Linked DNA regions of Canis lupus familiaris. The protein of the gene in region 5 purifies or fractionates together with the protein of the main gene of each other region. This does not show direct contact. Links are inferred from orthologs where the notes say so. Each region holds a gene or a part of one and is shown on either strand. Other genes may lie near its edges.

Region 1 (3,922 bases), about 65 Mb from region 5:
ATGCACCACACTGGACACCTTAACTAAAGAATCCTTGAATTTCACTTTTTAAAATGATCCTGTTTTGCAAGATTTTTCTACTTCTAATGTAATAATCTCAAATAGCTCCAAGTTACTTCCCACTAGTTAACATATATATACAGAAGAGGAATTTAAAACAAATATCATGCCTGCTATAAAGCCAGTAAGATTTTAAATTTCCCACCATCAAAGAGTTACTAAAAGCCTGACAGACATGAGAAAACTGTCACATACCTGGAAAATTTCATCTTTATGAGATTCAAAGGTATGCAGTTTTAGTTTTAAATTACGCAGATCCCATAAAGCTACAGTCTGAAGAAAAATAAATGAAAAGGAATTCATTTCTGCACTGTACGAAGAATTTTAGAATATCTGATTATAGCACAAGACAACTGGATTCATAAACATCAAATATACAAAAACTTAAAAAACCTTATCCGCAGAGCCAGTTGCGAGAATGAACTCGCTGTAAGGGTTGAAGGACAGGCAGTTGACCTCGGCAGTGTGTGCATCCACCAGGTGGCTTGGCTTGGAGGTGGTGTTGGACCTGGTGTCCCATCTAGAACACAAAGACACAAGGCACACAGCACAAGCAGAAGCCACCCAACCCTCCTCAGTTTCTCATGCCCGTTTCCAGGTCTGCACCACTCCACACCACCCTTACTCTGCCATGCTCACCCCTTCATGGACACCCTAATCACATACAAAGCTGCCAATCTGGACTTCCAGCCACTAAGTGACATATTCTAAACCCACAGAAAATAAATTAGGGCTATCATTTCCAGTTTCAGATTCCTGTCTTATTACCAAATATTTCAAGCAGACACAACTACTGGAGAATAATGTAACAATTTGATACCTACAACCCAACCTTACCATATTTTACTATTTAGCCACATTTGCCTCAGATACTAGTTTCTTTATGAAATAAAACACATTTTAGGTGGCTGAATGCAGCCTGTAGCCATGCCCTGATGCAAACATTTTTAGCCCTCATCTTCAAAGTCACTGTGACCCTAATTTTGACACATACCACTAAGAATGTTTCTTTACATTTGTAGATTTTTTTCAAGTAAAAAAATATGTTCATTCATAGAGCACAGTATCTTCTATGCAAAAAAAAAAAAAAAAAAAAAAAAGCTGTTACACTTGTTGTTTCTTGTATGTCAAGCTAAAGCTTTTAAGGCCAGTATATAACTTAAAAAAAAAATCAAACCATAGGCCACCACAATCACTGTTGATCATTCAGGACACCCATATATCAAGACCCCACTGAACCTTCCACCTTACATCATAAGCTTCTGATCATCAGCAACAGATCCAAACAATGACTCGTGCAGCAGATGCCAGGCCACATCCTCTACAACAGCCGAGTGGCCAGTAAAGATGGCTTTAGCATCCACAATCTTGCCTTCCTTTGGTCCTGCATTTATATCCCACAGACAGACAGTCTAAAGAAGGAAAAAACAAACAATCTTCATTAAAAAATTATATAACTAGGGGTGCCTGGCTGGCTCAGTCTGAAGAGTGAATCTTGATCTCGAGGTGTGAGTTCGAGCCCCATGCTGGGTGTAGAGATCACTTAAACTTAAAAATTATCTAACTATATATATAAAGGCAGAAATAAACACAAGGGAGAAGAAATATAAACAAAGTGAAGCTTCAGAAACACAAGAGTATGCTTATAGCTTTCATCACCTGAGATGCAGAGGGCAAGGAAAAGGAAAGTATATGATAACGGGGACAGAGAAACCAGGCACGATGGCAGGCAATAGACAATGAGGTAGAGTTTCTACTGACATACTTTCAATCAAGTATCTAAAATTCATCTAGAGGGGATCCCTGGGTGGCTCAGCGGTTTTGCACCTGCCTTTGGCCCAGGGCGTGATCCTGGAGTCCTGGGATCGAGTCCCATATCAGGCTCCCAGCATGGAGCCTGCTTCTCCTTCTGCCTGTGTCTCTGCCTCTCTTTCTCTGACTCTCATGAATACATAAATAAAATCTTTTAAAATTCATCTCGATTACACAATGCAACACTAAGAGTCCAATATTCAGTATTTACTGAACAGATACTCCTGTCCTAAAAATTCACACAGGGTTGGGAGACTGGAAATTAAGGTGTCTGCTTCTCCCTCTCCCTCCCCTCCCGCTGCTTGTGCTCATGAAGGCTCTGTAAAATGGATGAATAAAATCTTTAAAGGCGGGGGCGGCTCAGTGGTTGAGAATCTGCCTTTGGCTAGGGTTGTGGTCCCGGATGGAATCTGGCATCAGGTTCCGCACAGGGATGCTGCTTCTTCCTCTGCCTATGTCTCTGTCACTCTCTGTCTCTCATGAATAAATTACATAAGATCTTAAAAAAAGAAAAATCTTTGGATAATTCTCTCGCCTCACAGCAGAAACCACTATTTGTAGTGGAACATTAGGAAGTCGAACATGTGAAAAATCCAGAAACCCCAACTAGGCTACTTTGAGAGGCCAAAGCTTAAGGCCTGCTGACAGATCCCCACAGCACAGACCTCAATACTTCAGCAAAATCCAAGGAAAGGCCATGGGCCTTTCCCAGGCCTCAAAGATCACAGATCAGCAGGCTCTGGGATCTGATTCTTCAAATGAAAACCATTACAAAGTTAACAGGAAAGTTTTTATGAAAAAATATTACAAGCTATGGGACAATGATTATCATCCAAACGGTTTAAAAGGTAATTCCACTAAGACATATTTGCCCCAACAATTCCACTGACTGGTATGGGTTTCATCTCTTTGAAAATCACTTTCTTATCTGAAAGACTTTCTGTGACAAAGCTATTTCCCAGTAATAGCTATGTACTCAGTAACAAAAAAAATAGTTTTACAGAATACACCCTTAGTCTTTGTTGATATACACTCAGACAATTTACAAGCACTGAAGAAAAAGGAACATATATAGAGCTCTTGACATCCTTTCCTGCTCATTTCAGAAGGATCCTGGGAAGATGAGCAAGAAGCCTGGCACATGCAGAGCCCTTAGAAAACGTCAGCTATTATAACTAGCAAATCCCAGCGTGGTGTCTTCAAAAGGCACTAGTAATAAAGTTACTGAGCATAATCCATTCCGTTTCAGAGACTCTACCACACCCACTTTGAGGGAAGTGGAGGAAAGCTTCCTTTTGGAGAACTAAGGGAGACCCTCACTTCTCAGCCTCCCTCGTGGCTAGGACATGATAGTGGCTACATCAGTCTGACCAGGATTTTTTTAAATTAATTAATTTGACAGAGATTGAGAGATTGAGAGAGATATACTGCATACAGCAAGGAGAATAGCAGGCAGACAGAGAGAGAGAGAAGCAGAGAGCCTGATGCAGGGCTTGATCCTAGGACCCCGGGATCATGACCTAAGCTGAAGGCAGTTGCTTAACCAACTGAGCCACCCAGGTGCCCCTGACCAGGACTTTAAATTGTGAACATTAAGAGGGAAATCTGTTCTCATGTTTGCCAAGTGTGTGGGGGGGTACAAAGTGGAGAGTAACACCCACCCGCTTCTCCTCTCTGTTCTGGGCCATTTTCTAGCCAGCAAAGCAATTCTGTGAGCTACCCTACCCAACACCCTTCTGATAAATTCCTTTTCTGTTTGCATCAGCCGGAGTTGGTTTTGGTTGCTTGCAGCTAAAGAATCTTGACTGAACCAATTACCTACTTTCAATATTTAAAAAAGCTTAACAGAAATTGTAACCAGTAGAAATAAAAGAAGGTCTGTGATGCAATAGGCCTGTTCTAGACAGGAGGATATACTACGGAAGAAGGTTAAGAGAACCTGTGGCCAAGTTACAAGAGCTTTCAAAAGCTCCAGAAGTCTACTCTCAGCTCTGGGCTGGAGTCATACCCACCATATTTTGCTTACAGTATGGGATCCATGAAGGAAGGT
Region 2 (3,922 bases), on a different chromosome or scaffold from region 5:
ATGTCAATCATCTTCTCTGACCTTGTTTCTTCAGCTATAAATTAAAGGTGCTATAAGGATTATATAAAATAACAGGTAGCCCTGGCCTACCACCCAAGCAATCTTCAATAAATGTTCATTTATTTTTCCTTACTTGAAGATAGGATCCATTTTTTAATACTTCAGTATCACTCATGGAGTTTAATATAGTTCCTGGAATATGACAAGTATTCAACAAAAATATACTGAATGAGGGGATCCCTGGGTGGCGCAGTGGTTTAGCGCCTGCCTTTGGCCCAGAGCGCGATCCTGGAGACCCGGGATCGAGTCCCACGTCGGGCTCCCGGTGCATGGAGCCTGCTTCTCCCTCTGCCTGTGTCTCTGCCTCTCTCTCTCTCTCTCTCTCTGTGTGTGACTATCATAAATATATATATATACTGAATGAAAGAGAGAAAGAGGGCTTGAGGTAACTTTTGAAGATGAGTAAAATATGACTGGGCAGAGTAATCCTCCCAGTCAGGATGGGGTAGAAAGAGGCAGAATCTGATCTGAGGGTTCTGAGAGGGGAGTGACAGAAAAGGAGGCAAGCTAGAGCCAGATTAGCAAGGTATAGATGTATAAGAGGGAACTCTGGAAGGTCTCGGCGCTCGCTATTCCACATTCAGGTATCCTCTTTTTATCTAAATGCTAGTCTACTCCCTAGAGTCCCTCAAAACCTCTGTCTGCTACCTTTTATGTTTTTCATTCTCAGATGCCTTTCACACCTGACAAAGGTCTCTGGTCCCACATCTGCCTGCTCCTCTGTCTACCTTCCCTCCTTGCTTCCCCAGCTGCCTCCAGTGGCTCTAGGGACATAACAGGGCCATCTGAGACAGAAGACTCATCTCCTCTCAGTCTCTGGAATGGTGAGGAAGGATACTGCTGTTGCTAGGTTACTTAAGCTGCCAGCACAGACTTTAACCACAGACTCTTAGGCTCTAACCATAAGGCAACATAGGCTCCCAGCCCTTCTTTATTTTCTCATTTGGACCTTTGCAACAGCCTAACTGGCTTCCCTACTAAAATGCATGCCTGGAGGCTCCTGACTGGCTCAGTTGGTGGAACATGTGACTCTTGATCTCGAGGCTGAGAGTTTTCACCCCATACCGGGCAGATTACTTAGCACCTGGGTGGCTCAGTCGGTTTAAGCATCCAACTCTTGGTTTCAGCTCAAGTCATAGTCTCACGGTTGCAGGATCAAGCCCCATGTGTGGCTCTGCACTCAATGCGGTCTGCTTCAAATTCTCTCTCCCTTTCCCTCCCACCCACTAACTCTATTTTCTAAAATTTAATTCATTTTTTTAATGTATTTGACAGAGAGAGAAAGCACAAGTAGGCACAGAGGGAGAAGCAGGAAGCCTCATGTGGGGCTCGATCCCAGAATCCTGAGATCATGACCTGAGCCGAAGGCAGACACTTAACCGACTGAGCCACCCAGCTGCACCCCCCCAATAAATAAATAAAATATTTTAAGAATAAATAAAAATAAAATGCATACCTGTTTTATCTCTCTTTGATTTAAAATCCATTACTTGGGGATGCCTGGCTGGCTCAGTCAGTAGAGCATGCAACTCACCATCTTGGGGTTGAAGTTTCAGCCCCACACTGGGTGTAGAGATTACTTTAAAAAAAAAAAATCTTTGGAGCACCTGGGTGGCATAATCAATTAAGTGTCCAACTCTCAGGTTCAGCTCAGAATACGATCTCAAGGTCTTGAGATCAGGCCCCACATTACAGAATAATATGGATCCCTAACTTCTCTTTAAAAACTGATGGTGGGGGCACCACCAGTGGAGGCATCCCTCTCCATATGCTTGTGCTCTCTCTCTCAAATAAATACAATCTTTAAAAAATAAATAAATAAAATAAAAACCGGTAGGTGGGCAAAAATCAGACGGAACTGAGTCAAGCAGTTTAGAGTCTATGCTCTCTAGTAATTAGGGACTTGTCTAGCTCAACATAGTCCCAATTGCTCTTTTTTTAGGCATTGGATTTTTTTTTTTAAATCCTGGCCCATCAGAGTTGCTTATTACATAGTACAGCATATCCAATCCTTGCTGACCTCTCCAACTGTAGGTCCCTTTACTCACACCCGTGAGACCTTTACACTATAGCACTACCTAGAAACTACTCATAGTTTCCCCAAACACACCATACTGTTCTTACCTCTTTGCCTTTTTGTTTACACTCTTCCCTTGGTCTAGAATGTCAGTCCCCTCCTGAACTCCTGGCTAAATTCTATTCAATATTTAAAATTCTGCTCAGATAGTACCTCCAGGAAACATTCCAAGGCTTCCCTTCCTCCTTCACTTTTCATTATCTCTGTATCTTGTACATTATTTAATTGTACGCCCTCAGACTGTAGTACAATTTATTTGTGTACCTGTCAGTCTCCAGCACTGGAGCGAACCCTTTAAAAACAGAAATCTCTTTCAATGTCTGCCACATAACAGCCCATTCGACACATCTGATGAATGAGTAGTTGAGAAAATGAGATAACATAACTAGAGCTGATGGGGTTAGGGAGTGGTGGGGGTCCCAGTAACTCACATAGATTTCCATTTTTCGGTAGAGACCATAGTTAAGTAGCAAATTGTGAGTCATACGGATTCGGTGAGGCTTCATTGGGTGGCCTTGTCCATAATAGTAATTTCCAACATCCCCTGAAGAAAAAAGAGTGACAGTTTCAGTGACACAGTTAGACATACACTCCCAGGAGAATCCAGGAATTTTTATAACCATCTCCTAATCATATTCTTTCTCTTTCGTTCTAGTCCCCAAGATTCTCACCCACCTTGAGGAAGAGTTAACTCCAAAATAAAAATAAAACAAACAAACAAAAAAAAACAAAATAAAAATAAAACAAAACAAAACAGGAACAACAAACAAAAAAAGCAGGGGACTCTGGTGAGTCCAGCACTTAAAGATATAAGCCTAGCCGATGGGATCCCTGGGTGGCACAGCGGTTTAGCGCCTGACTTTGGCCCAGGGCGCGATCCTGGAGACCCGGGATCGAGTCCCACGTCGGGCTCCCGGTGCATGGAGCCTGCTTCTCCCTCTGCCTGTGTCTCTGCCTCTCTCTCTCACTGTGTGCCTATCATAAATAAATAAAATTTAAAAAATTAAAAAAAAAAATAAGCCTAGCCGACAGGCACTACACAGTGTAAAAACGGTTCATTCCAAAGCTACTGGAGAATAGCAGGCAACAAGGTGATTCACCTCACCGTATCTGCAAAGAATTCACTCCCACAACAGAAAAATAACCATTACTATTCAGAATTATTATAAGTCACAGTTCACCTCTTTCATATTAAAACACTTTATGGGGTTAAAGCACATTTACATTTACTTTCTTAATGGATCCTCAGGGGCAGCCCTGGTGGCGTAGCGGTTTGGCGCAGCCTGCAGCCTGGGGTGTGATCCTGGAGACCCAGGATCGAGTCCCACATCAGGCTCCCTGCACGGAGCCTGCTTCTCCCTCTGCCTGTGTCTTTGCCTCTCTCTCTCTGTGTCTATGAATAAATAAATAAAATCTTAAAAAAAAATTAATGGATCCTCACAAGAACCTGGTAAAACAGGAGTATTATTCCTATTGTATAGATAAGAAAACTAAACTCTTATCATCTCTAGCTTCCTCTATAGCAATAGACTTCTAATTGGTTCCTCTGTCTTCAACTCAAAACTATCTGCCACACTGACCAGTTATTTTTCTAACACACAGCTTTAATAACACCATTCCCCTGCTCAAAAACCCCTAATGACTCCCCATCTTCTACAGGATAAAGAACAACTTCACTAGCCTGGCATTCAACTCACAACACTCCCTCTCCTGCTCTCTCCCTCTCCCAGCTCTCTACTCTAAACAGAAAAGGCAAACTATGGCCCTTGGGCCAAATACAACTAG
Region 3 (4,528 bases), on a different chromosome or scaffold from region 5:
TGCAAAAAGGTGACTTTATTATTATTATTTTTTAGAGATTTTAATTATTTACTCATGAAAGACACAGAGAGAGGGAGAGGCTGAGACACAGACAGAGGGAGGGGCAGGCTCCATGCAGGGAGCCGGATGTGGGACTCTATCTCGAGTCTCCAGGATCACGCCCTAGACCAAAGGTGGCGCTAAACCGCTGAGCCACCCGGGATACCCAAAAGGTGACTTTATTAAACCATGGAGACAGACCTGTGGGCAGAAAGAGCTGCCCCAGGGTTATGAGGAATGGCTGATTATATACTTTCAGATTGGGAGGGGGTTAGGGACATCGTAAGTCTCTATGGAATGTTTGAAGCAAGGTTTCCAGGACCTTGAGGGGGCTAGCTATTGTTGGGAAGAGTAATCTGAGTCATGAGACCCTTCAGAGATATATTGCTGGGTATTATGCTTGGGGGATAATTACCAACATATATCTTGGTGCAGGCAGAGATAAAGGAAGTTTCCAAAAGAATTTTTATATGTTCAAGTAGACTTACAGGATCCTGGGAGTTGGGCTAAGATTGCTTTTTGCCTGTTAGGAAAAAGTATTACATCAACATGGAGGCAGTTGAGTCCCTAGAGGAAGGTCACTCGTCCTGTTTCAAGGACTTCTCGATGGGCTGTAAGTATTAAACACATCTAATAATTTTTCTTTTGTCTTTGTTTCCCACATCATTACGGCCTTCAATCCTGCACATAGGTGCTTAGAGTCCATCTCACAAGAAACAAAGAAGACCCTGGAGGTTTGGAAGCAGCTGTGGAATGATCCAGTGCTTTACAGCACCAGGGCTAGGAGAACTGGTTAAGAGACTCCTGAACTGTTCCACTGGGGAGATGATGGGATCAGGAACCATCAAGAACCAGTTAGCAAAAATGCACTTCACAGGGCCCCTGTGGTGCTGTGTGCCCCTGGCCCATCCTCACATCAACCTCATAAAGCAGGGGTCTACAAATATTTTTTAGCAAATATAACAGGGTCTGCACATCTTAGGGTCTATCACGGCTACTCACCTTGCTGTGGAAGCGCAAGAGTAGCCACCGATGATAGGTACACGAGTGGGTGTGCCTGTAAATTTTATTTTACAGAAATTTCACGTGTCACCAAATAGCCTTCTCTTTTGAAATTTTTCCAACTTTAAGAAATGTGAAGACCACGATGAGTTCGCTAACTGGAACCGGACAAAAAAGCAAACGGCTGGGTTTGCTCAGCCGCACTATATAAGGCGTTGGTTAGCAGTTCAATTTGGGGAGTAAAGTCCGGGAGCAAGTCCTTCCAGGGGCCACGCCCCCGCGACGTCATCGAGGCCGCGCCCCCTCCGGGGCGGAGCCTGCGCATGCGCGGCCGGCCCTCGGGCGGGGGCGGGGCGGGCCGCGGCTCCGACTTCCAACATGGCGCACGCTGGCGGCGGCGGCAGCGGCGGCGGCGGCGGCGGCCCCGCGGGCCGGGGGCTGAGCGGCGCCCGCTGGGGTCGCTCGGGCTCCGCGGGCCACGAGAAGCTGCCGGTGCACGTGAGTGCTGCCCCCGCCGTCCCTCGGGAGCCCCGTCGCCCGGCCCCCGCGGGCCGATGCCCCTCGCCCGGGCCCCGCCCGGCCCCGCCTCGGCCTCCACTCCGCACGGCCCCCGACCCCAGCCCCCTGACCCCTAACCTTGACTCCCCGGAGGCTCGGCCCGCCCCCCTCCCCGCCAGGGACCCCGGTCCTCCGTCCGCTCCTCCGCCGACCCCCGCCCACCGGGACCCTCCCCTCCCCGCAGGTGGAGGACGCCCTCACCTACCTGGACCAGGTGAAGATCCGCTTCGGCAGCGACCCCGCCACCTACAACGGCTTCCTGGAGATTATGAAGGAGTTCAAAAGCCAGAGGTACCCGCGGGACCCCTTCCCACCCCGGGGGGGCCGCCCTGGGCCGCGATCCGGCCGAGCGGGGTGCGAACCCCCATCCCGGCCCCCTCTCCGCCCCAGTCGGGTGACCTTGCGCAGGTCGTGGAACCTCTCAAGAGCCTGGGTTCCTTCCAAAAGACGGGAGCGGAGAGTACCCCCCTGTGGAGCTGTTGTGGGGATTCCTGGAAGGAGAGCGGGGATGGGGTGAGGAGACAGCAAGAGAGAAGTCCGCAAGCGCAGCAGGAGTCGGGTCCTGTCTTTACTCAAAAGGATGTTTAAAATGAATTTTGTCCATCAAGGATTTGTTTAATTAATTTAAAAAAAAATTTTAAGCACTACGTTAAAATTATTGGTCTTGGTTATTGCATGTTTTGGCACCCTCTCCCCCTTCAATCTTGTCTCCAAGGTGAGTGCCTCACCCTCGGCAACCCCCAGTCCCAGGCTTGTTGGAAAGTAATGCGCATAAAATGCTTTGTAAGGGGTCTGGCACAGAAAAAGGATTGAAAACACACCAAGCTGATTTCTGTAGGCGCACAGGAGGGTTAGAGCTAGATAGGGGACCTCAAGATCATGCCATCCATTAACCGGAGGCTTACTTTGGCTTAGAGTGGGCCAGAGGCTTGCCCAGACTAGCCTTAGGGGCAGTCAGGACTAGAACTTGGGCACTCTGACTCTTAGATTCTCAGCGGTCCCATCACCACCGTGCTGCCTCCCCCTCCCTGAGGAAATCGGGCAGGGCTGGCCTGATTTCCTTCCAGGAGAGACCAGCTAAAGCTTTGAGGGAGCCCCACTGCAGCCATGGGGACGACCCCCTGGCGTTGTGCAACCCATGCTTGCAGGGCCTTTGGTATTTATGCTTTGCCATCACTTGCTGGGATCCACACCTGTGTCATGGTTTATCACATTGCTTAGAGGGCTTTGGCCTCCTGCCACTTCTTGGAGTCCCGGACTTTCACTTGGCTCTCCTGACATTTTCAGAACAGAACGCGTGTGCTTGGAGTGTTTGGGGTAGCTGTGCCATGCAGATATCCTGTGGTTCTCCATAGGAGGGTACAGGGAGCCCAAGGCTGGCTGCTGTGGAAGTAGATGACACATAACACATTGGCTGAATCACACCGGTCACATTGCAGGGTGCTTTGTTGTCCTTCGAGAAGCTCATTATTAGGTGGCCCTGTCAAGTGAGTTGGGAGTAGATTTTGCTTTCAGTGTGCTCCCCAAGACACTCCTGCCCACTCTCGTTCTCTTTTGTTCTAGCATCGATACGCCTGGAGTCATCCGACGCGTGTCACAGCTCTTCCATGAACACCCTGACCTCATTGTTGGATTCAACGCTTTCCTTCCCCTCGGGTACAGAATAGACATTCCCAAGAATGGCAAGTTAAACATACAGTCGCCTCTATCCAGCCAGGTATGCCGCTATGGTGGTCTGAGTGAGTTGGCCCTGACATGGTGCACCCTGGTACTCAGGTACCCAGGTCAGGCAGCCCATCTTGTGTATCATCGTGTTGCTGGAAAGCCAGCGAAGATCCAGTCTTTTTCTAGACACGCTGCTCGCTTCTAGCACAGGTCAAAATAGATCAAAATACCTATCCAGCCAGCCTCTTTATCCCAAATCGATCCGTTTGGAGGATTCAGATAAGAGTGGATGTGGTTGTTTGTGTCAGGGGTATTCTCTTAGCAGTTTTATGTCCTGTCAAAATAACCACCCCCTGTCACCAGGCTCTTATCCTGAGGCGTTCCCGTGACATGCCAGGTAGGCCACACTTGTACTTCGGTATGTGGTTGCTCTGATCATCCTAGGTGCCCGCCGCAAAATAAAGTAGTTGAGATGTGTGTGTGAATAGCCGTTTTGTTGTTGCTGTGCTGCATTTAATTGCCAGCAGGGTCGGTGGCTCAGCTTAGGCTTGTGGCTTTGGCTCTTTATGTCTCAGGTGGTGGCTCGCTGCCTCCTATATCCCTGTAGTCCCTTCTTGCCTGAGCCCACCAGACCCTCTGAGCAAACAAAAACCTTTGTGAGCTTTACTCTTATAAATTAGCCATTGCTTTTCCTCCACCTTGGCCCTGTTGCCATAAAGCCGTGCTACAGGGGGTGCTGTCTAGTGCATCTGGAGATGTTTTGTAGATTCCTGACTCCACCCCCTAGGCCCTTACCCCGTGGCGACAGCCAAAAGTGTCACCAGACATTGCCAGATGACTCCTGGGAGCCATATCACCCCCATCGAGAACCACTGGTCTGCGTGAACCAGCTCTTTCAATCTCTCTGCCTCTGCTCCAGGGTTTTGGGTTTTAGAAGGGATATAAAAAAAAATCTACCACGGGAAGCGTTTTGTTGTTTCTGCCTCTGATGAAGGAGATTGCAGTTTTGTATCAATTCAAGAGTCAGATTTGGAAGGAGAACAGCCAGAGGCCATGTGACAGTGACATCCCTCTCTGAGAGGAACTCGCATGTAAATCTTGCCTTCTCTCTATGCAAGGCAAGCTCCGCCACCAGCATGTTGCCTCATTAAAGCCAAGCAGTGTGTCTCAGTTTTAAAAAGGAACTTGGAAGTGCGTGGCCACTGAACTCCAAAGAGCTTCCATTTCACATTTACACACAGAGCACCAGGATCCAGATGTAGGG
Region 4 (3,922 bases), on a different chromosome or scaffold from region 5:
TAGAATGCCAAGTACACATTATTAAGAAATGCTAACTAAATTTAAAAAAAGAGGGAGGATTAACATTTACTGAGTACCAAGTGCTAGGTAAAAGAAGCTTCACAGCTGGTCTGGGACAATCTTTGATCAGACAGGAACAGTAAGAACAGAGTGGTAATTGCAGAGCAAGGATTAGGGGACAGGAGGTCATTTCTTCAGCAGCTCAGGTCACTTACCTTTACAGTATGTATAAAGGTCTAGTACACAGCAGGTCCCCACCACAGCCTCCAAGGGAATGATCTCATAGAGTGGTACCCTAAATAGCTCATTGTGATAGAAGCGGCGTGACGGAGAGTGGTGGGTCTCGTGGGGGCGGAAGTAGTGGTGACCAAAGGCAAACCGTTCCTCTCTAAGGAAGAAAGGGAGAGGTTTAGTAAACTGGCAAGATCCTAGGCGATATTCAGCTCTGTGCTGGAAGGCAGAGCTGGAAGAAGAGAGAGGACCTCAACACATACTTTTCATTCTTCCAGAGCTTCTCAATGCGGAAGATGTCAAGTTTATCTCGGTTAATGTGTGATAACAGTCGGTAGGACTGGCGGACTGGGTGGCCATCAGGGGTGCGCCGGCTATCTCGCATCAGGTACACACAGTCACCTAGGAAGGCACAGGACAAATTAAATGATGCCTGTGAACTGTTAGATGCCCACTGGTCCGACCCAAGGTCTACACAGAAGGGCTGGAAATCTAAAACAACAGATACAGAGAGCTACAACTGGGAGTCTAATGGCGATGAACATCAATTCTAGACTATGAGAATGGCACGAGGGAGGTCTCCCATCTCTTAGAATCCTATATGTTTTTCTCAGTCCTAAAATTAGCTTTATGATCTCCTGGTTTCTCCTAATTTTTATTTGGTGGAGGAGAAATGTATAAAAGCCTAAGGACTGAAGTACATACAAACCTATACCGTCAACCTTTGAACAACATGGGTTTGAGCTGCATGGGTCAAATTATACTCAGACTTTTGATGAATTACGGTAGATATAATGTAAAAAAACCTTCCTTACGTTTTTTTTTTAACATTTTCTTTTTTCTAGCTTACTCTATTGTAAGCATGCAGTATATAAATACATGTAGCACACAGAATATGTGTTAATTGGCTATTTATATGTTATCAGTAAGTCTCTGGTCAACGGTAGGCTATTAGTTAGGTTTCGGAGGAGTCAAAAGTCATATTTTTTTTTTTTTTTTAAGATTTTATTTATTTATTCATGAGACAGAGAGAGAGACAGAGAGGGAGAGACACAGGCAGAGGGAGAAGCAGGCTCCATGAAGGAAGCCCGATGCGGGACTTGATCCCAGGACTCTAGGATCACGCCCTGAGCCAAAGGCAGATGCTCAACCACTGAGCTACCCAGGCATCCCCATATGTGGATTTCTGACCATGGGGAGGGGGTTGGTGGCTCCTATACCCTGCATTGTCCAAGGGTCAACTGAATTCAAGGTCATGTGGTGACAATAACTACTATGCAGAGAGCAGATACTCCTTGCACTCAGAAAGGTAAAGTCAGCTTTGTGTACGCACCTTGACGAAGCAACAGGTCATCTCGGAGCAAACAGATGAAGTAGACACAGCCGGGCTGGGCATAGTGGGGCCGAGGGATCATGGGTACCTCCTGGTAAGAACGGAAAGCTAACAGATAAGGGCTGCAGTGACTATATCCAGCCTATTGATTTCCATTCAAGAGGAAAAGACCTCAAACCCAGAATTTGCAAACAACTTAACACTTACTGTTTAGTCATTTCAACACAACACACATGCGAACAAAGATGAAAGCAACTGAAGTTGAACTGGGAGTGTGAAGGCAGAGAACAAACCTGACAGGCCAAGTATCCCAAACTAGCTGCATAAAGCACTAACTATGTGGCTGCTCTTATACCCCCTTGGGAGCATGATAATGTGTGAAGGGGACTGATTGTCATAATGACTCAGAAAAGTTACCAGCGTTCAGTGCCCAAGGGCCAGGGAAGTCAGACATTCCCTCACAGCACAGAAATGTCCGCTCAAAATAACAACACCGCTGTTAAGAACTACCGCCTAAAACACTTCCCTTCATAGAAAAGACCTGCCCGAGATCACACGTATAAACATAGCAGAACCAGGACAAAAACTCACTTAGTAACTTGGGCAAGTTACCCCATCCACCATCTGTCCTGGAAGGGTTTAAGACTAACCTGTGTTGACTCGGAATCATGCTCCTTTCACGTCAACATTGCTTAACACAAGAGATATTTACAGTACTCGAGTTCTGGACTTCACAAGTACTTCCCTCATGGAAAATTGACAGTGTTTATATAGTACCATTCCTTCCACAGGTTTCTAAGTATTTTATTTCCCCTTTGACCACACACTTGAGAAAAGAAAGGGCAGAATTATTACCCTAGTGTTAAATATAAGAAACTAAGGTCCAGGTTGAGTAACTTATCAAAGTAAATTCAGTGCATCAGGAGCTGGGCAGGTAAGATAGCATGTGCTAAACCTCCTACGTGTAGATCAGAGTATCAGCAGAGGGCAGCTTACTCTGTCCACAGGCCTCGGGTCACACTGCTCACACAGGTAATGCTCCACGTCTGAGTTCACCCCCATACAGTCACAGTGCTGCCATACCTGTGGGGAAAACAGTAGTTGAGGGAGGACTTGGACTTATTGAGAGAAGTGCTGGGAGCTAAAAATTTAAAAAAAAAAAAAAAAAAAAAAAAAAAAGAATTGCAGCAGGACAGGATAAAGTCAAACAGGAACTAAGGGATAAGTCGGGGAGTGAGAAATAGGAGAGAAACAGTAGGAACCTGTCTGAACACATGTATATTGTTTGGTTCATAATATATACATCTGGGAAAATGAAGTGAGGAGCTGGACAGAGAAGAAGAGGATGAATGAATGTAGCACTAAGGAGCACGCACCGGTGCCCAGGCTGTTTGGGGGGGGCCATAGCCACATGATGCTTCTCTGGGCAGCTGCCTAACTGCAGCACCCCCCCTACCCCCCCACCCAACCAGACTGCTGGCGGGCCCTACCCCCCTAGGCTCCACTTCCCATTTCAGTAAGGTGGTGGGCTCAGACATTCTTCCATCAGGAGCTCCTATCCTGCACAAAAGCATCCTCCTCGATCCAGACTATGTGAGATGTGAACAATGGGAAGGGGGCAGAGAGAACAAGATGTGGAAAAGGAAGGGAAGGATCAAATTAAAGAGGTATAAAATGGGAGAAAGGCAATCTGGTGAATAGTGAGAGATGGGAGACACCAAGGCAGAGCTAAAGTTCCTGTACAGCAGGCAAATCAAGCCCAGAGGCCTTCTGCCAGGTGGCCACCATGCCCCCAAGGAGCAGGCCTGTGCCCTGCTCAGGGCTCACCATGCACTTGTCACACTGGATCATGAGGCCCTCATCCTTGTGGAGGCCACAGACACAGCGGATCACATCGTCATCCTTCTCATGCACGTTCTCCTTCTCAGAGACAGATGTTTCGCTGCTGTCGGCCTCACTTGCTGTCTCTCCCACAATCTCATCAATCTGGGCTGATGCCTCATGCCTGGCGTTGTAGTAGGTCTTCCGTAGACGGCAAACATCTCTCCCAATTGGGGATTTACGCCCGTAGTACTTCTGAAGAAAGCAGAACATAGAAATGTTCGGTCTTCTCAACATGGCTTAAAAATGTACCTGAAGAGGGATGTCTGGCCACCAGCTTAGTTTGTGGCACTGCAACTCTGGATCTCAGGGTGGTGAGTTTGAGCCCCATGCTAGGGGCAGGGCTTCCAACACACACACACACACACACACACACACACACACACACACACACACACACACAGACCCTGAGGAGGCAATAGGATTTTCATTGTCCTCCCACTTTGGTTAACAGATTTTCAATACCATCAAGTATCA
Region 5 (3,812 bases):
GGGAAAAAATTCTCTATTAAACTTCTCAAATCATCGATTTGAATAAAATTTATTTCCTGCTGGGACCCTGACTGATCTAGGAGGATCATACAGGACTCATTTCCAGATTTGTTCTTACTGTATTTTCTAAAATCTCTCCAGTAACCATGATAATTTATGTTTTTACTATAGAAGTAAAAAAACACTGTCATGAAACAAAACTTGGTTTGGTAAATTTCCTTATAGAATGGATTTATAATCATAGACATCCATCAACCCTCCTCCACAAATCCCCTACTCTAGATTCCCACTATTATGTCTAAGGGATTATAAAAACAGAACATGAACTCAATGTTGGAACTAGGGAAAGCGGCCATCCTTGGTCCAAAATCTGTTAAGTATTTCTGAAGGTGGCTGCCCATATTTTCTTTTGTGGTCAAGAGCAAAGCTCTGCGTAAGTGTAAGGAACTATTATAGTATCCACTAAATATTCTGTTATGCCAGCCCAATTCACAGGGGCAAGGAGTTCTTATAAGCAGCACTAGAAAGCAGTCACTCTGAGAAGCCACAATGAGGGAAGAGGAGGGGAACTGGCAATGACAGCATACTCCTGGCTGCCACACCCAACAGAAAAAGGAATTCTTTTACTGGGAGTCAGAACTCTCTGATACCACCTAGATCTTTCCCGAGCCCGCGGACTAGTCAGCCTCAATAATATTAAAGGCATGCTGCAAAATACTTGCTTTGAAATTTAGAAACAAATTTTATTTAAGATCTGAAATACAATTCCTAAAATATCAACTTCTCCAGAAAACCGTGGCTACACAATAATGCATTGCCTCTATCATGTTAGAACGTGCATTAGACTCAAATACAAAAACCATGAAACAAATCACCATCCTTCAACAATTTGAGCAAAGATAGAATGCCTAAGGAACAACATAGATGGACTTGCAGAGGATGGGCTGTTTTACTTCAAGCACCATAAAAAAAAGAGCACAAATGCATGGGTTTTCAGGTATATACATTAAGTTGAACCTTTGGCACTAGGAATCAGGGCATTTTGTCACATAGCATTAACACATATTAGAAAATTGTGTAGTGTCAAAGGGATAGAACCACCAGCATTCAAGCAATGTTGTCAACTAGGCAATAAAATGTTCTACTGAATGTTTCTTCTTCGTCTAATTACTGCGTACACTGGTAGCAACTTTGAAATGAGAAAAGGAGCTTGTACTCCTTTCATTTTCTGTTTAAAAACACAACAGAAAACAAACTGAAACATAAGCCCTGTTATACATTAACAATTTTAAAGAACATCAATTATACAAGAAAAAGACTAAGAACGAAAAGAGTGTTTACAGATACCAGACATAACAGTGAGTGGTCAGTAGACCCTCACAGGGCTTTGCGGTGGTACTCAGCCGAAGCCACTTTGTAATCACTGGCAGTAAACAGAGATGTAGCATTCTTTGCCAGATATTTTAGGAAATCATGCAAATAGCCCAACAATAATGCAAGGCTCTTCTCATCAAGGGGCGTATACGCCAACATTGCTCCAATTCTTACAAATAATCTCAGTAGGTGTGGGGCTCCATAAACCTGGGACATTGGTGCATCAGGGTGAGCCAAGAGAATTTCAGCATACTGGGGCCTCTCAAATTTGTAGAGCAGCTGAGTGCCCAACATCACATTGAAATATTCTTTTATTCCTGCCACAACTTCATTAACTGCATACTCCTTATTATCAACATTTCCCTGCGACTTCTTACAATTTGCATACTCTTCCAGAATAGCATCTACATTTTTCTTAGCAGGGAGTTGAAACAGCTGCTTCTGCCTGGTAACTAAGTCCCAGTCCTCAACAAGCCATGGTTTTAATTCTTCAGGAATCTTCACTTTAACTTCCATTCTATTCTTAAATGCCTCCTCACTTTCAACAGTGGGGTCTGCCCGGGCCCTTTTCTTCCGAGGTGGCTGGGGTGCTTCACTGGTACTGCCACCATCACCGTTTCCAGGTGTCTTCTGTTTGTTCTTTCTGGTCTTCCTCACTGATCCTGAAGGGGGGTTCTCTGCAGAGCGACCCCCCCATCTGCCTGGGAGAGCTGGTTCCAGATTCTTCTGCTGTGGACCAGCAGTCTTCTTTCCTGAGGAGGCCCCTCTCATCTTACTTCTCTGCATATTACTTCTAGTTGGTTTTTTGAAGTTGTCTTCTTCTGCAGATTGTTGTCCACGAGTTTGAGAACCCTGCTTTCTGGAACTCATTCAACCCTGTTTTTATTCCAACCACTGTAATATATAAAATATTTTACTTCGTTGTTTTCTATCGTGACCTTTAACACATATTACTTCATAAAGGCCTACCACAGTAAAACACAAGCTATTTTCTTGGAATTTAGATTTCAAATCCTAGTTCAGGATCATTTGTAAGTGACTGACTTACTACTTCCACCCTCTTTTTGATTTTCACTACCAACCACTACTCACCCCATCCAATCGCTCATCAGACTTGCCCATAAGTTAGTTTTTTGGTGCCACTCCAAAGACAGAAATATAATTTTAGAAAAAAAATAAATTAAATGGAAAAGAAACTACAAAAGGCAGTGGAATTGAAATTAAAACTGTCTGAACAGGATAAATGACAAGATAAAAGAACAAAGAAAGATTAGTTGACTGGAGGCAAAATGAGTAGCAGTAAATGTTTTTGTAGGAGTCCAAGTAATCCTGAACTAGGGTGATGACAGAGTCAAGGGAAACTGAATACAGAAATTGGTAAATGAAGAAGAGGGAGCAGTCAAAGGTGGCTTTGTACAAATGCATCTATTCAATTAGTTATCATACATTATTGCCTATCTGCTTTGGGACAGATACTATGCTAGGTCCTAGGGTTTAAATCTAAGGTGACAATTAAAAAAACGAGGTTAGGGATCCCTGGGTGGCGCAGCGGTTTGGCGCCTGCCCTTGGCCCAGGGCGCGATCCTGGAGACCCGGGATCGAATCCCACATCGGGCTCCCTGCATGGAGCCTGCTTCTCCCTCTGCCTGTGTCTCTGCCTCTCTCTCTCTCTCTGTGTGACTATCATGAATAAATAAATAAAATCTTAAAAAAAAAAAAAAAAACGAGGTTAGTACAATGACGGTTATAGGCACAGAGTATTTTGGAGCAAACAAGAAATGGTACATGACACCACTGTCAGTATTAGCTTGTTGGAGAAGGTGATAAATCAGAGAGAAGTCAGTGATGACTCCAGGTTTTGAGAATGGGTGATTAGGTCATTAGTACTATCACCAAATAAGACTGCATCTAGAGGAGGAGGAAGTGGATTAGAGAGGAAAGAACTTCAGTACTGGATCTACTACGTGTGAGATGTAAAGTTAGATATTTAACTTTAAAGCTCAGGTGAAGGTCAGAGCCTGAAATGGAGATCTGAGGGTAATCATCACACAGCTACTACTGGAAGCTAGGAAAGCCATCAAAGTCATTCATGGACAGAAGAGGAAGAAAAACTGAACCAAAGTATGAAATTCTGGAAAAACCTAAAAGAATGGTATTTAAGGGATTAGCAGAGACCAAAAACAACACAAAAATGGTCAGAGCAGCCATAGAAGAATTAGGAGAATGTTATTTTGGAAGCCAAATAAGTCAAAAGAGTTTTAAGAAAGGAAAGGGATAATGTACAGTATAAAATGCAGCAGAGGGAACTAGTAAGATAAAGATGAAAAATAGGGGGCTATGATTCTTATAGTGTGACACAGGAAGCAATTTTTTTGACTTACATAATCCTCTTCCTTCTTTCCCTTCCAAGTACTCCTAGTGTTTTCCCAGATGGAACC
Region 6 (4,717 bases), on a different chromosome or scaffold from region 5:
TTCTCTACAGGAGCCCTGACAAAGAATGAATCAGGAAGCAGAAATCACAATATAACACTCACCTCAAGTTCATTCAGGCGCTGGACTCTGGGAGTGAAACGAAAGCTTTTTACTTCACATGCAAATGGTGGTTGCCAATCCTAAATAAAAATACATATATATTTTTAAACATATTGATGTGTAAGAATGCATTATTCATTCCCTCAAATTTAAGGGATGAATAGCCATAAATGATGACAAGTCAACTTTAAGTCTTTTTCATTGTAGAAACAGGAAAAGTAATACTTTTTAGATGTTTTTAATATTACTTCTCTCCAATCACTTCTCTCTCATACTGTCTTATTAAAAGTATTTTATCTATAAATCCTCTTCAAATTTCAGGAGTCCCATCCTTTATAACCCACAATTATGCTTTCCCCAATTAATCAAGTGGAATGCAGTGAACTTGTGTATCACAACAGGGTCTAATAAACCTCCCAAGTTTACTAAATGAAAAATAAAACAGAATTTGAAAGAAACTAAAAAGGGTAAAACTGAAGATTAAAAGGTGATTTTTAAAGTACTTATATAATTGGTTAATATCTTTTTGTTTTCATGGGTAATGTGACACAGCACTTTACAGTCTGTGTTACATAAATGTTTTGTTCAAAGCCTGGTTTCTCAACACCCAAATATTTTTTTAAAAAGTAAGCAAATTCACAGAATAAGGGCAATTTCCAGATTGGAGTTATGGTATAACTGAAATGGGCTGGCACAATTCAAGTAGGATTCTAGAAAACATATTTTGATTTGGACTAAATAATAGTAAATCTACTTAAAAATGTGAGAAGTAGTCAAAAAAATTTTCCTTACCTTAGAAACCAAAGAACATCAATTTTGAAATTAAATTCTGCTTGTAAACAAGATTTATTTTTAATGATAATAAGACATACAAAGAGAAGGTATATTATTTCCATCTTTTTTTAGTAATGAACTATTTTTTTTGTACTAAAGGAATCCTGAACACAATTTCTAACTCATAAAGGCAACAGAGTAGATGAAAATATGGTTTAGGACCTGGGTGGCGCAGCGCCTGCCTTTGGCCCAGGGCGCGATCCTGGAGACCCAGGATCGAATCCCACATCGGGCTCCCGGTGCATGGAGCCTGCTTCTCCCTCTGCCTGTGTCTCTGCCTCTCTCTCTCTCTCTCTCTCTGTATGACTATCATAAATAAAAAAAAAAAAAAAAAAAAAAAAAAAAAAAAAATATATGGTTTAGGAAAAACTTCAGAGCTTAAAGTTTTGCCAGTATTAGGTAATTTTGATAGTTCAACAGTTAAATGAAGCTTTTAATTAAATGTCAGAAGTTAAATGATGCTTTTGGCAATGCATATGCCATCATTCGTCATAGAAATCAGCTTTTAATCTTTCATCTGTAATTAACGTTTATAAATCTTAATCAAATTCATTAAGCATAAACAGGTGTAGTAGCATGCCTGGGTTTTAGAATAAAACAGATTGATCTAGGTTCAAAATCTACTTTGCCACACACCCAAGATCATTCATTTGATAAGTTATATAACTTATTCAGAGTTGTCTTATCTGTAAAATGAGATGTTATTTACCCACTAGGGCTTTAAAGAATATTAAGTGAAATAATCTGTAGGTGCTAAATTAGCTTCTCCTCCTCCCTCCTAGCTTCAGCTCTTTTTATTCTCTATGGTGCACACCACTGTGGTAGTTTGTGGTGAGAGCAGACGCTTTCTAAAATGCAACACGAAAACAGTACTTCATCCTTTATTCTTATAACTAATAGACAAAACATAAAGCAAGGTGTCCCTTTAAGAAGCACCGAAGGCAATAGTTCACACACTTTAATGTGCATTAAGCATCATCTGAGAGTACTTACTAAAAAAGCACATTCTAGAACTTCCACATCCAGAAATCTATTCTAGTCTGAAAAAGGGGCCTGGAGATCTGCATTTTAACAAGCAGCTGGTTGAGCCTTGTGCAGGTGGACCAGGAACAGCATTTGAAAAACGTTGGTCTCATGGGTAAAGAAAAAAAATCTTTTGACCTTGAGCAAATCACTCAACCTCTTGGGGCACTAACGCCCCCAAAGGAGTAGTATCTGCTTTCCTTAAAGATTGAGGATTATAAAAAACCTACAGGCAAACAGTTACTTGCAATAATTGCAATTCATAAATCTTTGAACCTTGGTTCCTTATGTCAAAAGAGTTCCTCTTAAACCACCAAATTCTAAAATAAATGCTGCACCTTCTCGTCCCCTGGGAAGACTTTTTCATTGCGGCAACACAGTCTAGGGTTCTTGTTTGGTAATCCCATTCTAGGGGACGACTAGATCTCAGATTACCGTTTAAGAAATCTTTCCTTTGAAATGAGGCTTGCAAATATTTACTAAATCAACCATTAGTAGGACTCGGATTAGAAAAACAAAAAGTCAGTGTAAAGGCAGTTTTTACTCTAGCATCCTAAGGAGAAAGCACAGTACACGAGGGTACAACACGTCCTAACACTTCGAGCACCTCCTCGGCCAGCGCAAGGCCCGAAGTCTTTTGTTACCCTTGCCTACAATCAAAGGGGAATAGAAGTACCAGCTCCCAAGTTCTGGGCAGGAAGGCCCGTGGGACACCGCTCTGGCGCTCAGACAGGCCTACCACAGAAGCCTGCAAAAGAAACCAAGAACACCCAGAAACCTAGCTTCTAATTGTTGAGAAACGAGAGAGTAAATATGAAAAGGAAGAAGGACCGGGAAAGTAAAGCTAGGGACGCCTGGGTGGCTCAGCGGTTGAGCATCTGCCTCTGGCCCAGGGCGTGATCCCGGAGTCCCAGGATCCAGCCCCGCATCGGGCTCCCTGCGTGGAGCCTGCTTCTGCTTCTCCCTCTGCCTCTCTCTCTCTCTCTTTCTGTGTGTGTGTGTGTATCTCTCATAAACAAATAAAATCTTTTTAAAAAAGAAAAGAAAGTAAACCTAAAGCACTCCCCCTTCCGTCTCCCCGGACTCCGGTACCTTGGGCGGTCGGATTTTGCAGATGCCGGTTTTCTCTGCCAGAGGCCGGATGCGGCCGATGAAGCTGAGCGGGTCCGTGAACTCCTCCCAGCTGGGCTCAAAGACTGGGCACTCCGGCGGCGGCACAAACTCGGCCGCGTAGCCCCCCGGCCCCACGCCGGCCATGGCAACACCCGGGGGGCCCTCCGACGGGCGGGGGGGAGAACAGGTGGAGAAAGGCTGGTCGAAGGCCACCGAACCCTCTCACGTCTCCTGACAGGGGCCGAAGCTCATCGTCTCGGACCAGAACCGCTCCACACAGGAACCCAACCCCACAGTCGCTTCCTCTTCTCGTTTGTTATTGTTTCCTTCGGGGTTTTTCGTCTCTGGGTCAGGACTTTTCCGGAAGTTCAGGTACCGTCAAATCCCTCCGCCGCCGCCACCACAGAAACAGAATCCCTCCGCCGCGACGCGCTGCCTCGGCGCAGGGCCTTCCCCTTCCTGGCTTTGCCCGCAACCGGGGAGGGTTCCTGGTCCGCGGGTGTGCGCGGGTCGGCGCCGTTCCACAGCTTCGGGCGGCCCGGCCCCAAGGGCCCGCGGGCTCTCTTTCAGGGAAGACAACGCTGAGGGCGAAGCCTCCGAGGCTCGGGGCCGCGCTCTTCCGGCGCGGAGGAATGTGTAAAGCCCCAGAGGGCAGAGGTTCTGCTTCCGGGAGGAGGGCTCTGTTCCCTTTTGTGTATGAACCACACGAAAACAAGCTCAGCCAGCCCTGGGCGGTGCTGTCCCCCGGTCCCGGTATCGCGGCTGGTTTTAACCTTCGCATCTGCCTTTTTCTACGTAACTAGCTTTTTCGGCATCTCTTTCTTCAGTCTTGTGTATCCCTTCCGAACCCTCTCCCTCGGCCGCTTTCTAGCTGCCTCGTCTCCATGACGACAGGTTCGGGTCCTATCTGTCCCCCAAATCCTGCCGGCCGGCCTCAGCCGCGGCCCAGGAATTGTTTTTTGTGCACGTGGAAGCCACCGCTCCTGACCTTGCTGTTCCAGCATTGACCCCGAGTCATCTCAACAGCAAGCACTGTACTCTGCTGACTCGCTCCCTAAACCCTTCTCGGTACGCTGTAAAAGCTGTGGCAACTGTCTGATCCTGCTTGTCAAAAATTTTTAAGCCAAGGTACTTCTCCCGTTACTTCAAATTGTGGGCAATAACGTAGAAAGAACTAAAGAAGAAACCGTGAAAAGGTAGTTCCAGCATTAGATATTTGGAAGGAAGGCTTCTTTCCAGGGCTTTTTCTCGGGCTCCCTGTGCAACAGCTACCCCAGGACCTATTGCCAACTGTGGTTGATGACTCCCAAAACTGTATTTCCAGCCAAGATTTTTCTTTTGCATTACAAACCAGTGCATCTAGGGCCGCCTGGATGGCTCAATCAGTTGAACAAGTGCCTTTGGCTGAGGTCATGACCCTAGCCAGGCTCCCGATCAGATCAGCGGGTAACCTGCCACTCCCTCTATAACTCGCCCTTGTGCACTCCCCTCTCTCTGTCAAATAAATACATAAAATCTTAAAAAACAAACAGTACATCTAGCTACCTACTAGATAAGCCCACTTAGTTAATTAAAGTACCCACAGTTGGGGGATCCCTGGGTGGTGCAGCGGTTTGGCGCCTGCCTTTGGCCCAGGGCGCGATCCTGGAGACCCGGGATCGAGTCCCACGTCGGGTTCCCTGCGTGG
Region 7 (4,700 bases), on a different chromosome or scaffold from region 5:
CCTATTAACACTAAAAGATATTCCTGTCCTTGCTCCTCCAGGGCGGCACGATGTCGACTTGGACTACACGTGTCTGCAGCGCTCTCAGAAGCGGTTTTTAAAACGCAGCTGTGAACTGTTGGGCACCGGCCGTCAACTACCAAACTATCTAGGTTTCTTATGTATCGTTTTTAAGTTTTTCCATAAGTGCCGCAGGTGGTCATTTTACATAATCGGGCGTCGAGATTCAGCCTTGCGGACCGACCTGACGCGACCCGGCCACTTTCAAGGTAGAATCGCACGTCTGGTGACCTGGGCCTGGAAGGTGCGCCCCCTCCCCGCGCAGGGGCCTCGGACGGACCGCGGGGCTTGCAGGTCGCCGGGCCGCGGCATCTCTGCTTCCACACGGCGGGGCAGCCGACTTCGCCGCGGGCCGCACGGCTGGAGCCCACCTGCTCACCTGTCACCTGCTCACCGGTCGGTCACCTGCTCACCTGCTCACAGGCTCACCTGCTCACCCGCTCACTGGCCACCTGCCCACCAGCTTACCTGCCCACTGGTCACCTGCCCACCAGCTCACCTGCTCACGGTCACCTGCCCACCGGTTCACCTGCCCCTTGGTCACCTGCCCACCGGCTCACCTGTCTGCCTGCTCACTGGTCACCTGCCCCCCCAGGCTCACCTGCCTACCTGCTCATCGGTCAGCTGCCCCCTGGCTCACCTTTCCACTGGCTCACCTGTCTGCCTGCTCGCCTGCTCACTGGTCACCTGCCCACCGGTTCACTTGCCCATTGGTCACCTGCCCACTGGCTCACCTGTCAGCCTGCTCACCTGCCCATTGGTCACCTGCCCACCGGCTCACCTGTCCGCCGGCTCACCTGTCCACCATCTGCTCACCCGCACCCCGGCTCACCTGTCCACCACCTGCTCACGGCTCACCTGCCCACCTGCCCACCTGCTCACCCGGCCCTCCTCGAACTTTTCCCACCCGAAACTCCCAGCGCCCGGCAGCGGCTTTCGCAAGCCCGACGCCCGGGTGTTATTTCCTGACCGAACAAAGAGCAACAAAGAGGTGGGTGGTGACCGCGCCTGGGCGGGCCCGCGGGGGGCACCTGCGCCCCCGCCCCGCCCCGCCCCGCCCGCCGAGCCAGGGCGGCCTCACGCCTCCCAGTCGGAGCGAGGGGCGCCCGAAGGGGCCGGCGGCGGACAAAGGAGCGGGACGGGGCCGGGGCGCGGGAGCCGGGGAGCGGGGAGCGGGGGCCCGGGGCCGCCCTGCAGCCCGACCCGGGGCGGGGACCGGGGCGGGGGGCCCGGCCGACGCTGGGGGCGGAGCGCGGAGCCGAGCGCGGCGGCGGCCCCCGCCCGGGAGGGGAGGAGGGAGGGGCGGGGCCCTCGGGGCCGCGGGGCTTTGTGCGGAGCCCGGGCCGGGGGAGCTGCCCTGACCCGGGGGGAGGGGTCGGGCCGGAGCGGGGCCCACACGGCCGCGGCGGGCAGGGGGGAGGCCGGGGGGGGGAGGCAGAGAGGACGCAGGGGGGAGGCCAGGGGGGGGGGAGGCGGGGAGGCCGGGCGGGCGGGAAGGAGGCGGCGGCAGGGGGAGGCAGGGGGGGCGCGCAGGGGGGAGGCCGGGCGGGCGGGAAGGGGGCGTCGGCAGGGGGAGGCCTGGCGGGCGGGCGGGCGGGCGGGCCGTCCCGGGGCGTCCCCGGCCCCGTCCCGTTCCTCCCCTCCCCTCCGCGGTCCCCGGCCCCGTCCCTCCGCTCCCCTCCCCTGCCCTCCGCGGTCCCCGTCCCTCCCGGCCCCGTCCCTCCCGTCCCTCCGCTCCCCCGCCCCGGCGCTCACCGTCGTAGTAGTAGCACACTTTCTTCTTGCCGCCTCCCTGACTGTACGCCATGGGCTCCCGCCGCCGCCTCGGGCTCGGGCCGCTCCGCCTGCTGCTGCTGCCGCCGGGCCGCCCGGTCGGCGGGGACACTAGCGCCGCGGCGGGCGGGGGCGGGGGCGGCTGCGGGCGGAGCTGGGCGCGGAGGCCGCGGGGCGGGAGCGGGCCGAGCGGGCCGAGCGGGCCGGAGCGGAGCCGAGCGGGGGAGGCAGCGGCGCCGACGCGCGACACTGGGGAGGGGGAGGGGCGGGGGCGGCCAAACCACCTCCGGGGGCCGAGGGGCGGCGGGCGCGTCCACGGCGGCCTCGCGGGGGGGGGGGCGGCCGGGCGGGGGCGGCCGGGCGGGGAGCGGCCCTCGGCCCGGACGCGGGGGGCCTGCGGTCGACCGGCGACGCGGCCGGGCAGCGGCGGAGGCAGCGGCGGAGGCAGACGCGGCAGGCCGGGCCGGTCGACGGAGGAGCGCGGCGCCGCGGGCCGCCCCCCCCCCCGCCCGCGCACGGTGGTTGCGCCCGGCCGGAGCCTGCGCAGTGGCGGCCGCCGGGCTGCAGCGGCCGCCGGGCCCCTCGGCGCCGGCCCACGCGCTCCCCTCCCCCACGGCGCGGAGCTCCCGCGCGGGCCGACCACGTGCCGCCGCCGCCGGGGGGGGGGGGAGCCCCGCCTGCACCCCTCGGGCCCCCTCGGCCGCCCGGCCCGCCGCGCCTGCCCCTGCGCTCGTTCTCTCTTCCCTTTTCCTTTTTGCTAGTTGCTCCGGGGCCCCGACCCCATAGGGGGACCTAATAGGGCCAGTCGGCTGCAGGCCGTACTTCCTGGGTTTGAAGGGGTGTCGAGGGCACGCATGTGCACTGGGGCGCACGGCACAGCCCTCAGCCTGTGCACTGGCAGCATTTGCACGGAGCCCGTCCCGTGCACGACACAGACCTGCCGAGACCCCAGCGAGCGCGGGGCGCAGGCGCGGTCGCCGCCCCCTCTGTGGGCCGGAGCGCGGATGGGGGGACCCGGGCCTGCCGGCTGCAGGACCCGGGTCCCGGTGCATTCCGTCTGGCTCCCGGACCTGCACGCCCTCGTGCAGCTGCTGCAGCTGCTGCAGCTGCTCCTGGCCGGGCGCCCGAAGGTTGGAGCAGGAACCCCAAAGACAGCGCTTGCAAAACTCATGGAAGTTGCAAATACTGATGCCCGATGAGCGAATCCACAAACATGCATCAAGCATGCACTTAGTCTAAGCCAACACCTTGCACGTGAGGCCTGGGGGCACTGACAATCTGCAAAGTAGCGCTCTCATCCCAACTGTATCTTTCACAGTCCCCCCCCCAAGTACCCAAATACCCCCAAAACACACTCTTCCAGGTACCCATCCAAAAAAAAAAAAAAAAAAAAAGCCTTATTGGAGCAGGAGCTATTTAGAGCCACTACCAAAAATGTCTTCTTTATTTTGCTCTTTGGCTTCAGAATCCCCAAGGTGTTTATATTTAAAGCAGTAATTTTCCTGGATCTCACCCCAAAAGGTTTCTAGAAAACTCCAAAGTAATCCCTTCCCAAATACCCCAAATACACTTTTCCAGGTACTCATCCAAAAAAAAAAAAAAGCCTTATTGGAGCAGAAGCCATTTAGAGCCACTACCAAAAATGTCTTCTTTATTTTGCTATTTGACTTCAGAATCCCCAAGGTGTTTATACTTAAAGCAGTAATTTTCCTGGATCTCACCCCAAAAAGTTTCTAGAAAACTCCAAAGTAATCCCTTCCCCACCCCTCCTGCCAAGTCTGTATTTTGAACAAGCGCTCCATGCAACCCACGCGGCTGGTAGGGGGGCAGCAGGGTGGGAAACATGGGCTCAAGGTTAATTACAAGATACTGACGTTCACAGTTTTATTCAAGTCCCAAAGCAGTTTGGTAGATTCTAAGTAGAAACCTCTATTCTCAGGACCAACAGAGTGAAGGCTGAAATGGGACTTTATGGTCCTCAAGAAAATCTCCCTGACTTCACCTACCTCCCGGGCTGGGGCCTGCCTCTCTGCCCTTCCCATCGTCTGTCCTGGGGCCTCCTAGCGCCCTGGCTCCATACCATGCGGAGGTTGCTCACGACTTCTCTGAACTTCTCTGAACTTCTCTGAACTTCTCATCAGAATAGAGTTTAACAAGACTAAGGACTATGTCTGTTTTGAATGTAATTACATCTCTATGCTCGCGACATGGGGCGAGTCGCTTAAACATTTTTTGGTCTAATTTGCCTTATCTGTAAAATGAGGCAGTATTACTTGAATAATTCCCCATGTGAATATTGAGTCCCTCGAATAAGAAAACATGGAATCATTTTTTTTTGAATCATTTTTAAACATTAAAGAACTGTGTGAATATAAGGGATTATTACAGGGATCCCTGGGTGGCTCAGTGGTTTGGCGCCTGCCTTTGGCCCAGGGCGTGATCTTGGAGTCCCGGGATCGAGTCCCGCATCAGGCTCCCTGCATGGAGCCTGCTTCTCCCTCTGTCTGTGTCTCTGCCTCTCTGTGTCTCTCATGAATAAATAAATAAAATATTCTTTTAAAAAAAGGGATTATTACAATACAAGTAATAATAATGATCATTCTTTGCATGTACAGTAGCTCACCTCCGACATGTGGGAAGAGCCTGAGCATACGTTTTTATTGTTGAGGAACTTGTTATCTATCATTTAATAATTTCAAACTAATAGACGCAATTATTTTACCCTGAGAAACTGGCATTAGAGAAGGATATCTTACTGGTAATAGGAGCAGGCCAAGAGAAGTATGCGCCTAAACATCTATAATGAACTTTAGATGATCAGAACTAACATACAGTCAGTTATTGAAACTTTGACAAGCGCAAATTTC

The links.
Region 1: the proteins of MORF4L2 (region 5) and histone-binding protein RBBP7 purify together in Homo sapiens (affinity purification with mass spectrometry, with the first as the bait; 3 studies listed by BioGRID). This does not show direct contact. The link is inferred for Canis lupus familiaris from reciprocal best matches to the Homo sapiens genes MORF4L2 and RBBP7.
Region 2: the proteins of MORF4L2 (region 5) and HDAC1 purify together in Homo sapiens (affinity purification with mass spectrometry; 3 studies listed by BioGRID and IntAct, with this or other methods). This does not show direct contact. The link is inferred for Canis lupus familiaris from reciprocal best matches to the Homo sapiens genes MORF4L2 and HDAC1.
Region 3: the proteins of MORF4L2 (region 5) and SIN3B purify together in Homo sapiens (affinity purification with mass spectrometry; 5 studies listed by BioGRID and IntAct, with this or other methods). This does not show direct contact. The link is inferred for Canis lupus familiaris from reciprocal best matches to the Homo sapiens genes MORF4L2 and SIN3B.
Region 4: the proteins of MORF4L2 (region 5) and ASH1L purify together in Homo sapiens (affinity purification with mass spectrometry; 5 studies listed by BioGRID and IntAct, counting the BioPlex papers as one, with this or other methods). This does not show direct contact. The link is inferred for Canis lupus familiaris from reciprocal best matches to the Homo sapiens genes MORF4L2 and ASH1L.
Region 6: the proteins of MORF4L2 (region 5) and KDM5A purify together in Homo sapiens (affinity purification with mass spectrometry; 4 studies listed by BioGRID and IntAct, with this or other methods). This does not show direct contact. The link is inferred for Canis lupus familiaris from reciprocal best matches to the Homo sapiens genes MORF4L2 and KDM5A.
Region 7: the proteins of MORF4L2 (region 5) and HDAC2 purify together in Homo sapiens (affinity purification with mass spectrometry; 4 studies listed by BioGRID, with this or other methods). This does not show direct contact. The link is inferred for Canis lupus familiaris from reciprocal best matches to the Homo sapiens genes MORF4L2 and HDAC2.

The regions. Positions count from the first base shown.
Region 1 is NC_049260.1:13,074,151-13,078,072, forward strand, and holds part of histone-binding protein RBBP7, read right to left. Parts: intron 1,473-3,922; coding exon 1,312-1,472; intron 581-1,311; coding exon 454-580; intron 334-453; coding exon 256-333; intron 1-255. UniProt on the Homo sapiens protein: Core histone-binding subunit that may target chromatin remodeling factors, histone acetyltransferases and histone deacetylases to their histone substrates in a manner that is regulated by nucleosomal DNA.
Region 2 is NC_049223.1:68,324,289-68,328,210, forward strand, and holds part of HDAC1 (histone deacetylase 1), read right to left. Parts: intron 2,682-3,922; coding exon 2,569-2,681; intron 1-2,568. UniProt on the Homo sapiens protein: Histone deacetylase that catalyzes the deacetylation of lysine residues on the N-terminal part of the core histones (H2A, H2B, H3 and H4).
Region 3 is NC_049241.1:46,188,485-46,193,012, reverse strand, and holds the start of SIN3B (paired amphipathic helix protein Sin3b), read left to right. Parts: upstream 1-1,419; coding exon 1,420-1,539; intron 1,540-1,783; coding exon 1,784-1,890; intron 1,891-3,162; coding exon 3,163-3,316; intron 3,317-4,528.
Region 4 is NC_049228.1:42,204,408-42,208,329, reverse strand, and holds part of ASH1L (histone-lysine N-methyltransferase ASH1L), read right to left. Parts: intron 3,641-3,922; coding exon 3,392-3,640; intron 2,648-3,391; coding exon 2,561-2,647; intron 1,656-2,560; coding exon 1,565-1,655; intron 634-1,564; coding exon 495-633; intron 389-494; coding exon 216-388; intron 1-215. UniProt on the Homo sapiens protein: Histone methyltransferase specifically trimethylating 'Lys-36' of histone H3 forming H3K36me3. Also monomethylates 'Lys-9' of histone H3 (H3K9me1) in vitro. The physiological significance of the H3K9me1 activity is unclear.
Region 5 is NC_049260.1:77,634,160-77,637,971, forward strand, and holds the end of MORF4L2 (mortality factor 4-like protein 2), read right to left. Parts: 5' UTR 3,756-3,812; intron 2,269-3,755; 5' UTR 2,245-2,268; coding exon 1,378-2,244; 3' UTR 726-1,377; downstream 1-725. UniProt on the Homo sapiens protein: Component of the NuA4 histone acetyltransferase complex which is involved in transcriptional activation of select genes principally by acetylation of nucleosomal histone H4 and H2A.
Region 6 is NC_049248.1:3,596,097-3,600,813, reverse strand, and holds the start of KDM5A (lysine-specific demethylase 5A), read right to left. Parts: upstream 3,175-4,717; coding exon 3,010-3,174; intron 141-3,009; coding exon 63-140; intron 1-62. UniProt on the Homo sapiens protein: Histone demethylase that specifically demethylates 'Lys-4' of histone H3, thereby playing a central role in histone code. Does not demethylate histone H3 'Lys-9', H3 'Lys-27', H3 'Lys-36', H3 'Lys-79' or H4 'Lys-20'.
Region 7 is NC_049233.1:70,481,077-70,485,776, forward strand, and holds the start of HDAC2 (histone deacetylase 2), read right to left. Parts: upstream 2,946-4,700; 5' UTR 2,886-2,945; coding exon 2,771-2,885; intron 1,955-2,770; exon of another isoform or gene 1,868-1,954; coding exon of another isoform or gene 1,816-1,867; intron 1,052-1,815; exon of another isoform or gene 814-1,051; intron 1-813. UniProt on the Homo sapiens protein: Histone deacetylase that catalyzes the deacetylation of lysine residues on the N-terminal part of the core histones (H2A, H2B, H3 and H4).